2 linked regions of the Elephas maximus indicus genome follow. The protein of the gene in region 1 interacts with the protein of each later gene in a pairwise test. Links are inferred from orthologs where the notes say so. Each region holds a gene or a part of one and is shown in the gene's direction. Other genes may lie near its edges.

Evidence for each region.
Region 2: the proteins of A2M (region 1) and C7H11orf58 interact in a two-hybrid assay, tested with the Homo sapiens proteins (2 studies listed by BioGRID and IntAct). The link is inferred for Elephas maximus indicus from reciprocal best matches to the Homo sapiens genes A2M and C11orf58.

The regions. Positions count from the first base shown.
Region 1 is NC_064822.1:66,266,901-66,274,343, reverse strand, and holds the start of A2M (alpha-2-macroglobulin), read left to right. Parts: upstream 1-4,437; 5' UTR 4,438-4,633; coding exon 4,634-4,710; intron 4,711-7,264; coding exon 7,265-7,443. UniProt on the Homo sapiens protein: Is able to inhibit all four classes of proteinases by a unique 'trapping' mechanism. This protein has a peptide stretch, called the 'bait region' which contains specific cleavage sites for different proteinases.
Region 2 is NC_064825.1:72,135,815-72,143,495, forward strand, and holds the start of C7H11orf58 (small acidic protein), read left to right. Parts: upstream 1-4,666; 5' UTR 4,667-4,823; coding exon 4,824-4,886; intron 4,887-7,681.

The DNA.
Region 1 (7,443 bases):
CATCTTTGCCAAGTACTGCCATATCATTCTCCTTCACTTCAGACAGACTCTGGGAAACTGGCTTTGCTTCCTCCTGTTGTCTTCATTCCTTAACCAGCTGCAGTCAGGCTTCTGCACTACACAGACACCGAAACAGCTGGCTCCCAAAGCTCTCCTTGACTCTAAATCCAGCAGAAAAATTATCAGCCAATCGATTATGTGATTACACAGTGACATTTGACATGGATAGCCAGGGATTTGGCCATAACAGTCCTTGCAGATCATCTTTGTAACGTATGGTGAGGCACCAGATAAGTGCTATTAACCTTGTCTCTTCTACTTTAAGTAATTAATCTTTTTTTTTTAATAATATTTTCTTGAGTTTTGGTGAAAGTTTACACAGCAAGTTAGGTTCCTTTTTGACAATTTCCACACATATTGTTCAGTGATGTTAGTTACATTTATCACAAAGTGTCAACATTCTCTTTAATGATCTTCTGTTTGTTCCCTTTCCAGTATTTCAGTTTCCCTGCCCCCTTATTGTCTCATCTTTGCTTTTGTATAATTGCTGACCTTTTGGTCTCATACTGGTGGCTTTTAAGTAGGGCACTGATCTAACAAGTAATATCCTTTATTTCATGTGCCACTCTGCTGTTTTGCTAAAAGATGATCTCAAGCGAAAGGCTCAGTTCTAGGTTTAAAGAATGTCCCAGGCCAATAGTCTCGGGGGTTCCTCTATTCTCTACTGTTCCAGTTTGTCTGACTTTTTTTTTTTTTTTTGGTTGTTGTTAATAAGAATTTGAGTTCTGCTCCATATTTTTCTCCAATTCTATCCAGGACCAATTATTGTGACCCCAGTCAGAACTGTCAATGGTGGTAGCCGGGCACCATCTAGTTCTTCTGGTCTCAGGGTAGATTAGATTGTGGCTCGTGTAGACTTGTTTCTTCTCTGAGCTTTTGGTTTCCTTCTTATTGTTTTGCTCCTGGTGAGTAGAGACCCACAGTCGTGTCTTAGATGGGCACTCACAAGCTTTTAAGACCCCAGATGTTACTGACTTCACTAGGATGCAGATCATAATTTTTGAAACGACTCAGCAGCAGTGGATTTGATGCTTTGGTTTATAGATACTTCTATCCATTCTCGCTCATGTACACACCTGTACCTACCCATATTAAGCATTTCTCTCTCATGTGAAAATCCAGTCTGAAGTGGACTTTTGAAGATTCAGAAACTCAGGCTGTGTCTTGCTTGTTGCTCTGCTTTCCTTGGCACACAGTTTCCATCTTATAATCTACGATAGAAGCTCCAACTACAGTCATTATCTCCATATTTCAGCCGGGGATAAGGAAGAAAAGGAATGCACAGAACATAACTCTGCCTTTTTAAACCATGACCTAAAAGTTACATACATAACTTCCATTTACATCCAATCATCAGAAGTCATATGGCCACACATCCAGCTTCAAGGGACCAAGGGAGGAGGCAAGGAAATAAAATCTTTAGCTAAGCAGTTTGTGTTCAGCAAAAACTCAGGACTTATTTTATTAAAGGTAGGATGGATAGTGGGGGATGGCCAACAGTCTCTGTCATATATATATAGGAAACAATGTTTCCAAATTCAACATTTTCACTAATTTGGCTTGATACACTGTTTTCTATTTTATTATTTTCTATTTCATTTTTTAAATCCTGGTCATGACTCACTAAAATAAAATCATAACTTACTAATAGACTGTGACCCATAATTGGAAAACATTGCTCTAAGTTTACTATGCCAAATGGGTAGCCACTCAGTTTGTGATCTGCTGCTAACCTCAAGATTGGTGATTTGAACCCACTGGGTGGCTCCATTGAAGAAAGGCCTGGCAAACTGCTTCCATAAAGATTATAGCTAAGAAAACCCTGAGAAGCAGTACTACTTTGTAACACATGAGGTTGCCATGAGTCGGGGGTGGCCTCAACACAAAAAAACCAGTGCCCTCGAGTCGATTCCAACTCATAGCGACCCTATAGGACGGAGTCGGGAGTGGCCTCAAGAACAGCTAACAGTAACAGCAGCCAGCAACGGCAGCCACACGGGACTACTGAACACTTGAAATGTGGCTAGTCTAAATTGATATGTGTTGTTAGTATAAAAAACATACTAAATTTTGAAGACTTGGTATAAAAAAAAGAATGTAAAACATCTTTTTAATGATTTTATATTGATAATGTTCATAATGTTTTGAACATATTGGGTTAATCAAAATACATTATTAAAATTAATTTCTTCTGTTTTTTGCTATTTTTTTAATGTAGCTTCTAGAAAAATTTAAATTACATAGGTGGTTCACATTACATTTTTATTAGACCGCATTGTACTAAGCTGTAGAATATTCCACAAGCACTTTCTAAAACTATACTCTTTATCTTCCCAATCCTCAGCCTTTCTGTCCTCCTTCTGTTCCCACCAACCCTCTGTTTCACTCTATCAGTTAAAGGAACATGATTCACTCAGTGACCAGCCAGGAAAATTGGAAGGCACCTTCTCCTTTACTTTTTATATTCATATATTCACCACATACTATAATTTTGCTCCTAAATATTATGTATATGTGTCAACTTCTTTCCAACCCTTAGTTCCAATACCCTAATTCAAAATACTATCAGCCCTCACCTATATTATTGCAGTTGACTCTCAAATGCCTCCTTCGGTCAGTCTTCCACATTTCAGTAAGAGTGATCTATCCAGGAAACCAATCCGAGAATCCATTTCACTGACTACTCCCCAAACACCCTCATATTATTGACTAGGCCATTTCTGATTTGCAGCCAGCTTGTCTCTCCAGCTCCACCACTTTTCTAAGTAGACAGGCATTTCCTCCATACCAGCTTCTTCTCAGTTCGCTGAATGTGCCATGATTGTTCTCAAGTTCTAGGTCTCTGCCTACGTCATTTTCTACACTTAGAATCCACCACCTGTCTGTCAGTTTGTCCTACTGTGGTGATGTACATGTGGTGACTGTGAAGCTAGAAGCTATGTCACCAGTTTTTCAAAAACCAGCAGAGTCACCCATGGTGGACAGGTTTCAGCAAAGCTCCCAGGGTAAGACAGACTAGGAAGAAAGGTCTGGTGAGCTACTTCCAAAAATTAACCAGTGAAAACTCTATGGATCTCAACAGAACGTTGTCCAACCCACTCTTTTTGGATCCATCACCAGGAAGGATCAATCGCTGGAGGAGAACATCATGTTTGGTGAAGTAGGGTGCTATCGAGGGTAAGGGAGAGTCTCAGAGAGGCGGATTGGCATAATAGCCACAACAGTGGCACTCAAACACGCTGGCAATCATGAAGATGAAGCACAACCAGGCAACGTTTTATTCTCTGGTACACCAAGGCCCCAAATCTGGATTATGTGCGCCTAGGAGCCCTGGTGGTGCAGTGGTTAAAAGCTTGGCTGCGAACCAAAAGGTCGGCAATTCAAATATACCAGTTGCTCCTTGGAAACCCTATGGAGCAGTTCTACTCTGTCCTATGGGGTCACTATGAGTCGGAATCAACTTGATAGCAATAGGTTTTTTTTTTTTGTTTAATGCTCCCAGAGTGCCCTGAACTTCTCAGATGATGTTTGGCTACTGTATTTTTATTGCTTAGTTGTCTGTTTTCACCCCCACAAGGATGTAAGAAATTTTAGTGCAGATCTGTTAATTGACCATCCTATCTCCAGAATTTTGCATATTGCCTAGTCCTACCAGGCTCAATAAATGCTTATAAAACAACTGAATAGATGAATGAGTGAATGGATGAATGAATAAATGAAATAGTCTGTATAATTCAAAGATTGGAGAGGAGTAGAAGATTCAGAAGGTAGTAAGGAAATGTGTTTGTATAGTCGATGGCAAAGGCAATTGGAATCTTTGTTAGGCCCAACAGGACAAAACTCATTTTTTGAGATCTTGCTACTTTTATCGTTTCACTTTTTTTTTTTTTTTTTTTTTTTTAGTTACTTCATATACAAACTAGTTTCTATTCCCATTCATCTAGGGCATGGCTCCTCATCCGCAATCCAGTAATAGCTCTACAGTAAAAGTCTATTAGTTGAATAAGGTGTTACTTCAACCCAGAAGCATTATCATTTCTGCAGAGGATTCCTGAATTCTGAAGCACCCTCAACATTTAAGTTAGGCATAGCTAATGGAGAACTTGCAGGCACAGTGACTTGTAGTGAGATGTCACTTTGAGCTGGCCATTGTTGCTCAAGCTGCAGCCTCCATTGTCAACTATGCAAGCAAGAGATGTGAATAGAGCCATAAAAGGCACTGGGAGGAGGTGGGGAAGGAAGGTTTGGAAAGGCCCTGATTAGCTGCTTTGCAGTAAAACTCAGAGACAGTGAGTGCTAACAGGAATGTGGATTTTATCCCTCCAGGAATTCTATTTAGCCTGCCAGGAATTAACCTTGACTGTAATTAGGCCATCACTGAGAGCAGTGACCCTTTCAGAAAATGTTTGGAAACCTCAACTTTGTTTAGAGACCTTGTGTGGGTGGAACTTCCTGTTTACACAGAGAGTGCCTCATAAAGTCCAGTTGCTCCGATGTGCTTTGGGGACCAGACTGAGTGCAGGGAGTAGGGTACGAAACAATCTGGTCTCCTCAGGTCCCTTCTCCCTGCAGCATGGCGAAGAAGAAGCTTCTTCATCCAAGTCTTATTCTCCTCCTCCTGGTCTCCCTGCCCACAGTCTCTGGAAACCCGTGAGTTCCACGCAGTTTGAATTTTGTCTTTTCCTTTATTTCATGTTTGCCTTTTGTATCATTCGTCTTTTCTATGAAACTGCCACTTTCTTTTCTCTGATGTCTCTTCCAACCATGAGGTTTTGTAACAATGTATTAATTCTTCTCTTATTCATAACTTTCCCTCCGACTCTCTGGACCTCTGAATCTCTACATTTCCTCTAAATTCCTTTTTAAGATGCATCGGAAATTGATACTTTTAAAGGAATCCATTTCCAGATCCTCGCATATATAAAATTCATTTTGATCTGCTTAAGGCTATGCTGTTTACCCTTTCTTACTTCCCTTTTCCGAATTGGCCATCTTCCACTTTATGAAAGACAAGCCTCTCCCTCCATCAGATCTTAAACTATGGAGCATTGCCCTGGGGTAGAAAAACCTCTAGCGTGCCAAATAAAGAACAATTAGAAATACCGGTGTTGATGTTGGGAAAGTGAAGGGGTTCTAATAACAAGGGAGAAAATCCTTTTTCAGGTCAGGTGGTGACAAATTCTTTGTTTCAACGTATTTAAAGAAATCATCTCATAGATGATTAAAAATAACTTTACGGGGCACTGGGTGATTCTCGGCATATAAGGCCGAGGAAGTTGCAAGATGTGGATGACAATATAACTGTGTTACCTCTCATTTATTTACTTATTTCCGTGAGCAATTTTTCTCCGTACTTACATCTACACAAGTCAGAATTAAGAACAGAATTAATGTTAGATCTCGTTGCATTCTTGCAATAAGAAATATTCATTTCTGGATACATAAATTGACTGGGAAAAAAACCCAGCTTATTATTATCATTAAAGATGTACTTCAAAAGAACATCTTTATTATATCTAATAAGTATGAATCAGAATTTGTAATATATTTATTTTGTTTTGATCAATTGTATACTGAGTTAAAAATAATTCTGAAGAAAATTTTTAACGCTTAAAATGATATACCAAAACCAAACCCACTGCCGTCGAGTTGGTTCTGACTCATAGCGACCCTATAGGGCAGAGTAGGACTGCCTGATAGAGTTTCCAAGGAGTGCCTGGAGGATTCGAACTGCCGACCTGTTGGTTAGCAGCTGTAGCACTTAACCGCTATGCCACCAGGGTTTTCTAAAATGATATCGTCACATTAAATTTAGAAGAAGACTTAAAGTTGAATGTATATACCCACATATAATATTGTATATATGTATGTGTGTATGTTATGCATATATACTTGCTAAAAAAGAAGTAAGAGTGACTCATAAAATATTTTGAAGCATAAAATCTTAGGATAAAGTTCTGTGCAGTAAGTGGTGTAGAAATTCAAGTTCGAGGAGGAAAAAAGGGAAGAAGTTCCTGAGATTAAAAAAAGAACTTAAAATATTTTAAAATAGATTGTATCGGGCATCCTATCACTATGGTATTTAAGATTTTATGAGGATCTTATAAAATAGTAATAGAAGCTTTAATTTAAATGTCGCAAGAAATAATATCTTTTGCTATTATTTAAACTTGAGATTACCAAACGGAACTTTCCTTGAAAATATGAAAGGAGTGCACAATGCCAAAAAAATTATTTTAGGAGTTCTGAGAGCAAGAATATTTGAAAACTACAGGGTCAATCTTATGTTATCCATGAGGGTATTGGGAAAGCTTCTGCCTTGTTCGTGAGTTACTAAGATCCAAACTTCAGTCACTAGAGGACCATTCTTTGGGGGAAGCTATTGTCTAGCCAGGAGCTGACAGGCAAATATTTAAATGCAAACATTCATGGTTAGGTAATACGCTAAGACTTGGTTAGTTGTTTACCACAACTGAGACTTTAAACTCTGAAGTAATGACTCACTCTCTTTGAACCTCAGATTCCTTATCTGTAAAATGAAAGGAAATACTTGCCATATCATTTTCACAAGGTTGTCAGATATATATCTTTTACCTCCTGTATATATAAATATATATACCTCAATATATGTCAAAATCTCTCTGTACAGATAGGTAGATAGATAATGAAAGTTCTGTAGATTGATTGGTTTTGTAGTAGCCACACACCTGTGAGCTTTCTTTTTAGAGTCAGATTAAACATAACTGACATTTAAAATTTGAAGTCAGATGCTTACATATTGGGGTTCCTTAAAGTGAGGCATTTAATATTTTTTAATATTTTTAAAGCCCACCTCAAGTGGAATGTTCACTGCATGGCAGTGCTGATGGAAAGGGGAAAGCATTCTCATGCATGCCACTTAACAGAAGAGATTAATTTCATTTTCATCTTGATGTAAAACTAATGATGGTAACAGTAATTGTTACGAAAAACCAAAAAAACAAAACAAACCTGTCACCGTGGAGTCTATTAGGACAGGGTAGAACTGCCCCAGAGGTTTTCCAAGGAGCAGCTGGTGGGTTCGAACTGCTGACCTTTTGGTTAGCAGCCTAGCTCTTAACCGCTGTACCACCACAGGTCCTTATGGAAGAATAGTGCTGTTGACAAGAATGTCTCTCTTCTAACTGAACTTGTCCCCTCCCCCCACCCCCCGCCACCTTCCCAGGCAGTATATGGTCCTGGTCCCTTCCCTGCTCCACACTGAGACCCCTCAGAAGGGCTGCCTCCTCCTGAGCCACCTGAATGAGACCGTGACTGTGAGTGCTTCCTTGGAGTCTATCAGGGGAAACAGGAGCCTCTTCACTGACCTCACGGCAGAAAACGACTTATTCCAGTGTGTCTCCT
Region 2 (7,681 bases), on another chromosome or scaffold:
TCTTCCCCCAAGTACCTCTCTTCTACATGCTTGATGGGTGAGCTCAACTACAGTCCTAGCTTGACCACTATCTCTAGATGGATTATTTTCAAATTTATGGCTCTCTCCTAACTTTGAAGGCTGTATTTCTAACTACTTACTATACAGCTCCACTTAGTGTCCCACCAGTACTTTAAATTCAACATTTACTTTAAAACTTATTATCTTACCACATAAATCTGCTCCTCTCTGATCTCATCCATTCGTGTATTAATACAAAAATTTATCGAAAGATGGTTCATATACAAGTCATAGTGCAAAGCTTAGATCCTACCCAAAATAAGTTTACAGTCTAAATTAGCTAGCAAGACTTGTACCTTTGTTCATACCTCTATTTTAGCATCTATCATATTTTGTTGTAACTAGTGATGGCAGAGTAATCAAGATAAGTAAAGTGTAGCAGTAGAAAATAAGACTGGAATTGATGATTAAGGTCAGAATGTAGACCTTCAATTATATTGACTTAATTCTGCATAAAATGGGAAGTTCTAGGAAGTTTTTGAACAGGAAAGTTTCTACATTCCTTTTTCAAAAGATGATATGTAAAGTGGATTTAACTGTGGAAACATTAGAGGACTGATAGAGATTAACTGAACTTGAACATGTGTAGTGAGAGATTCAAACTCAAGGCTTTTCACAGCCTGGCTTTGATCAACCTACAATTTGGTCTCATGCTACAATACTTCATGCATAACAGGTTTCAGTCACCCTGGACATTAACCATTCCCTGAATACATGCCCCTTTCCCCCGCTCTGCTCCCATAGCATTTTATTTGTAATTTACTCATGCCACTTAATCATTCCTTCCCCACCAAGCTGTAAATTCCTTGAGGTGAAGGACTATATATTATTCATTCTGATCTCAAATTTAGCACGCTGCCTGACACATGCTTTAAAAAAAAAAAAAAAAAAAAACCCAATTCTGACTCACAGCGACCCTATAGGACAGAGTAGAACTACCCCATAGTTTCCAAAGAGCACCTGGTGGATTTGAACTCCTGACCTTTTAGTTGCCAGCTGTAATACTTAACCACTACTCCACCAGGGTTTCCCTATATAAATGTTGCTATATTGACACAATGGAGAATGTACAGCTTTGGAGCTGGAGAGTCTTAAGTATTAAAGTATTAAATCTCAGCATAGTCACTCACAAGCTATATGATTTCGAGCAAGTTATTCAACTTTTCTTGAGCTTTATTATATATATATATATATATACTCACCTAAAACCCTATGCGGCAGCTGTACTCTGTCCTTTAGGGTCACTATGAGTCAGAATCAACTCAACAGCAATGGGTTTGGTTGTTTTTTGTTTTTATTTTTAAACACTCTTACAAACTGTTGTGAGGCTTTGACATCATTATAAAAAGCACCTAGCAAAGTATACGGTGCATGGTAGGTATTCAGTAAATGATAGTTATGATTATTTGGTCTATTCATTGCTGTCGAGTGGATTTCGACTCAAAGCAACCCTATAAGACAGGGTAGAACTCCCCCATAGGGTTTCCAAGGAGCAGCTGGTAGACTCAAACTGCCAATATTTTGGTTAGCAGCTGAGCTCTTAACCACTGCACCACCAGGGCTCTGATTATTGTCTAGGAATTTTTATTTAGTCTCACGTAACACAGCAGCAGATTTTCTGTACAGAGCACATCCTTTGGCTTTTTTATTTCCTCTTTATGTTTGTTAACTATGTTATTAGTATCCTATAGCTTATGTTCAGTCATGATTTGATTGAAATATTAATGTATGTACTGAACAAATATTTATGACTGCTTACTATGTGCTAAACATGGGGTATACAAAAAATTAGGAAAGCATGGTCTCTAACCTCAAGAAAGTATTTAAAAGTTCTATTAGTGACAGACTCTCCATTCCTTGTCTTTACAACCCAAAAAACGACAGTCATCACTTAGTTTCTAGGCCTCATATGAGATGCTACTCTGTTACACTATGTAAATTAATTCAAAAATACTTATTGACTATTTTGAGTCAGGAACTGTGCTAGAAACTACAGAAACAAAAAAGTAGAGATGAAATATTTCAAAGTTCCACTTGTAATAGAGTATCTTTTTGTTTTTATAATACAAGGAAGAACAGCATTATTGGGTTTCTGTGCCACATATGCATTACCATTCTATAACACTGTATAATTTCATCCTTACCTATAGGCTTCTGTATATTAAACTGGGCAAAATCTCATAAAGTGATCCAGTCTTTATTATTTCCTATGTTACTTTTTGGCTTGTGATCTTGTTCTATGATAGCTTGAAGGTTTAGCCATCCAGGTGCCAACAATTCTGGTGAAGAAATAAAAGACATGTTGCTAGCCCATTAAACTTTTCTGGATTTTCATCAGTTAGTATAGTTAGAACTATCTCATGCACTGAATCATGTCCACCTAAAATATCTGTCAACTTGGCTAGGTCATGATTCTTAGTATTGCATGATTTTCTACCATTTTATCATCTGATGTGATTTGTGTTGTAAATCCTATTACTATGAGGTAATATGATGGATTAGCAGCAGTTATATTGGTGAGATCTATGAGATTAGATAATGTCTTAAGCCAACCTCTTTTGAGATATAAAAGAGAGAAGCAAGCAGAGACACGGAGACCTCATACCACCAAGAAAAAAGTACCAGGAGCAGGGCACATCCTTTAGGCTTGAGACTCCTGCGCTGAAATGCTCCCAGACCAAGGGAAGACTGATGACAAGGACCTTCCTCCAGAGCCAACAGAAAGACAAAGCCTTCCTCTGGAGCCAGCACCCTAAATTTGAACTTGTAGCCTACTAGACTGTGAGAAAATTAATTTCTCTTTGTTAAAGCCATCCACTTCTGGTATTTCTGTTACAGCAGCACTAGATGACTATGACAAACTTTTTAGTAACTACCCAACCCTGTTGACAGTCCTTTTTATTTCAGAATTCTGTTAGCAGTCTAAATTACCTTTCAGCCATCCCATTTGTTTATTGCTTATATAGATAAGACTTCTAAGTTATACATATTACAATTTGTCAGACACACTGGACGTAACTTAGGTGTCATTTCGTTGTAATGATATCTACAGAACCGCAGTCGAATCATGAAGTAGGCAAAATATTTTAATTCATAGCAAGGAGGAAGCAACTATTTCCAAAAGTGTTTTCTCTCAACATGAGTTCACTCCTGACTTGATTTACAAATTTTTACCACAGAAATAATAGATTAAGTTTCCCTTTGTTTGGCTACACTTGTAAAATATAACTCAATTCAAAATCTTTTTTTTAATATTATCCTAGTGCTATTATTATCTTAATCCTCTGTTTCCAAAAGAAAGGAGCAGAATCTGGATACATGACTACACAAATTAAAAAACTGTCATCCACTGGTCACAGTGCTATTAAAGGTTCACGGCCTCATCTGAAATCTAGGAAAGAAATATTTCTGCACAGACAGACAGTCAAACTGTAGAAATTACCAAGTTCAAAAAAGCTAGTACTTAAGCATTGTTTCACAGACTACTCTCAGTTCCCAATATCAGAGTAGATCTGTGGTGTCATACCATTTACTGATTTTCGCTTTTAAATAAATAAATCCAATCTTTGATCAAAGTCAGAAAGCTTCAGAAAAACCGAGGACAAGGCTCCTGCCAGAATATTTTCTATAGCTGAAGGCAGCCAGGTTCAGACGCCCTGACACTGCAGCAAGATATAGGGCTTTGAATATTTTCTATAGCTGAAGGCAGCCAGGTTCAGACGCCCTGACACTGCAGCAAGATATAGGGCTTTCTGAGTAGACAAGTGGTCACCACGGTCTGGCGGAAGTGGGTAATGGAATCGTGCTGCTTAATGGTTAAGTACAGAGTTTCCTTTTGGGGTGATGAAATTGTCTTGAAACTAGATAATGTTTCACAACACTGGGAAAGTACTATAGGCCTCTAAATTGTAGCTTTTAAAATGGTTAATTTTATTTCACCTGAACAAAAAAATGAAAAGAGATACAGGGGTTTCTGGCAGAGATGAACTTCACTTGGTGAAAGCCCAGATACTATGCCTACACATCAGCAGCAAGGTCGAACCACCTCAGAAAGGATACAGAATTCCCTCAAGTGGACTTTGGCTTAGGTTAAGAGTGAGAAATGGGTGGGATATTCGTCAGAACCTTCCAGAAAGAGGCGCCGCCGGCCACTTAGAAATCCCCTGCTAGGAACAGACATCAAAGACTAGGGAACGGTGGCAGCCATTTTTTTTTTTTTTTAAGGTTTTTTGTCCTGCGGGAATGGCACTCTAAAGAATCCGATAAGCCTCAAATAACATTACATTTAAACGTAGGTGCTTAATTACGATGGATGCATTGGCCAAGGGCGCAGCGTCTCACGGTGAAATGTGATAAACCCAATATAAATCTCTTTCTGCGCCGACGAAGCTTTCAACCAACGTCCACCGCCATACCATTCCGCGGGAAAGCTCTCGTCGCCAGCCAAAGAAGGCGGAGGTTCGGTGGGCACGCCCGCCGCAGTGCGCGACCTATGCCGCTAGGCTTCCTGGAAGTTGTAGTTTTAGTTACTCATCCATCTCCTTTGTCAGGCAGGTGTGGAGTGAGCTACAAAACTATAACTCCCAGAGTGCTCCGGGGTGGCGAGGGGCCGCGGCAGTGACGTCTATGGCCGAGAAGGCCCGGTGGAGCTCTGCGTTCGGGAGAGTTGCTGCTTGGGCCGGTGGTAGATTGCAGGGTGCTGTCGCTACGGCTGAGGAGAACGGCGAGTGGGTTCGGTATTTCCCGTCTGGATCTCCACAACGATGAGTGCTGCCAGGGAGTCCCACCCGCATGGGGTGAAGCGTTCCGCCTCCCCAGACGACGATGTAAATAATAATGGCGGAGTGGATGAGGGTTGAGGCCTACTAGAGGCTGGGGTAGGCCTGGAGGGGGTGGATGAAGGAGGAAGCGCCTGAGGTGGCCCGAAGGGGGAGGGCTGAGGGGATGGAACCAAAAGATAGACTTGAGAAATGACTCCCTTCTTTAGTTAGAGTCGTAAGGTTTGGAGAGGTCCACACGCAAGAATCAGAGACCTGCGTAAGAAGGGGGACGGGGCGGGGGAGGGGATCGAAGAAATCGCGAGAGGGTCGAGAAGTGAAAGAGCTTAGTCAAAGGATCTTGTATTTGCGTATTTGAGAGCCGATAAAGCCTTGTTCTCAGGCCTTTCTAGTGTAGATAGAAACGGCAAGAGCCTCCCCGTTTTAGATTTAAAATGCTCCTTTGACAGTGTCAAGATGTTCGTGCAGATTGGAACATATCTTCCAGCCGGGATTATTTTTGCAGTATGTTATTGACAGTTACTAACTGTACTGTTAAGAGTAAACCGAGAACCAGAAATTGTACCAGAGAATTAACTTCGTACTGGTGTATGGCGATAAGGTCTAAGTTGGTGGGAACTAGAAGCCCGTTTTAATGTCAAATTCCTACCTCATTCTCCCTTCCCTCACCACCGCTCCCCAGCTTGTCAGTTTAAATAGCGAACCATTCATTCCTTAAAGTAGCCTGTTAAATATTTATTGCCGTGCCAGGTGTTGAAGATTTAAAGTTAGTAAGTGTAGTGCTTTTTGTATATTTGACCTAGGTCCTAGCGCAGTGTCATGGAGACTACAAGTAACTAAAAACGTAAAACTAGGTCCTTTACACAAAAAATGCTGTAGGAACGTTGATGGGTAAATTATTGAGGGGGAAGAGAGGAAGTGGAGCTAAGGAAGGCTTCACTGGAGAGGCCATGATTAAGGATGATAAAGAGGTGACATTTAGTTTTCTTTCTGTTATTGTCGAAAGCATATCAGTATCTGAATGTGTAGAAGTCTTTATTTTCTATAACGTAAGTGCAGTACCTCCCATAGTATTTTACATGAACCGCAAAAAGGCTTACTGGATAGTAGTCGTGCTATCAGTTTTTTAAGTGAGATGCTGTTAAGACCCACCTACCCCTCTTTGGGTGGAAGGTAGGGTGAGGATCTGAACAGTAAGGATGTTTAAACCCAAAACCAAACCCACTGCCGTCAAGTTGATACGGACTCATAGTGACCCTATACGACAGAGTAGAACCACCCCATAGAGTTTCCAGGGAGCACCTGGTGGATTCGAACTGCCATCCTTCTGGTTAGCAGCCGTCGCACCACTACACCACAAGGGTTTCCCCAAGGGTCTTTAAGGAAATTGATTTAGCTCCTCAGGAAGATCAGTAATCAGTAAAGATTTGGGGATGAATTGTTATCCAGTGAGCTGTTTCTCCCTGCTACTGGCTTACTACCTTTTAGACCTTTTTACGTAATTTAGTACTTGTTAGTTTATCTGGGTTTTTTGAGTAAGCTGGCTGGTAAAAGCTGTTACACTGTTTCCTCCTGGTTATTGTTAACTGTAACTGGATTGCTAGCATATCAGACACCTGTTTTGCTAGACTCAGATAAATAATCCTTTAAACTAACAGAAAACTCCAAGTGCTATGATGTAATTTAACAGAAAGTTAAAAGAGATTAAGGCATTAAGTCTCTGCAGCCTCTGATGGGATCAGTTTAAATAGATGACTTTTAAGACTTTGTCCAATCCTAAAATCATATTCTCTTTGAAGGAGATAGTTACAGTTTCAATTCAAGATTAGGGTCTAAGACCTTCAAACATTATCTAAAAATGATTACGTTGCTAATGTTATAGTGCAATACAGTAACTTGTCCCTCTATAGTGATTTTTTGGTCAGTTTCTTGTCATGAATTTTTATTACTTTTACTGGTAATTGGGGGTTATCTTTAAATACAACTTCAAAAAAAATCTTAAAAGTAATACGTAAAAATACTTTGAATGTATTTATGAAGTATAAATCTAAATTGAAGAAAATCAACTAATTATAATGAGTAGTTGGTCATCAGTTTCTAGTGAGCATCCACTGCATGTAAAAGATAATCGAAGTTTTCTTTGCTCATCTTATGTGTTAATTGGGGGTAACAAAATATTTTAAAAGCTGTTAAAACGATACATTAAATCACAGAATAGAACTCTAGGAAAATGCTGACAGTGTGTAAGTAGATTGTAAGTAAGAGCTACTAGGGTATATTTCAAGTCAAGGGTTTTAAGGATGTTGTTAGTTGCTGTGAGTCGGCACCCAGCTCATGGTGACTCCTGCATGGCTGATAACACCCAGGCCTCCACTAACAGATGGGTGGTGGCTGTGCATAATGAGGTGCATTGGCCAGCAAGTAAACTTGGGTATCCTTCATGGGAGGCAAGAATTCTAACTCTGAACCACCACAGCCCTTAAAAATCGTTCCACTGGTTTGATTAAAGTGGAGAAATTGAAGTTTGTTTTTTTTTTTTAAAGGAGTTGGAGATTAATTTTAGCAACTGGTAGAGAGCTCTTTAAGAATTTACCAGGTACCCATGTGCTTTTCAGAATGCAGCATTTGGGCAGGATAGTTGCTATAGTACTTTACGGTCCTTGAAAGAAAGAACAAGAAGCACTGAATAATTGAAGGAAACATTAAGACGTGAAATTGTAGATGGTAGGGTTGTTTATGTAAAGACATTGAGGATGTTTGTTCTTTTAATAGAAATAGAGTTTGGGGAAAGTTTTGGATTTTAGTCTTTTGTTTTTAATTGTATACATTTTTAAACTGTAGTT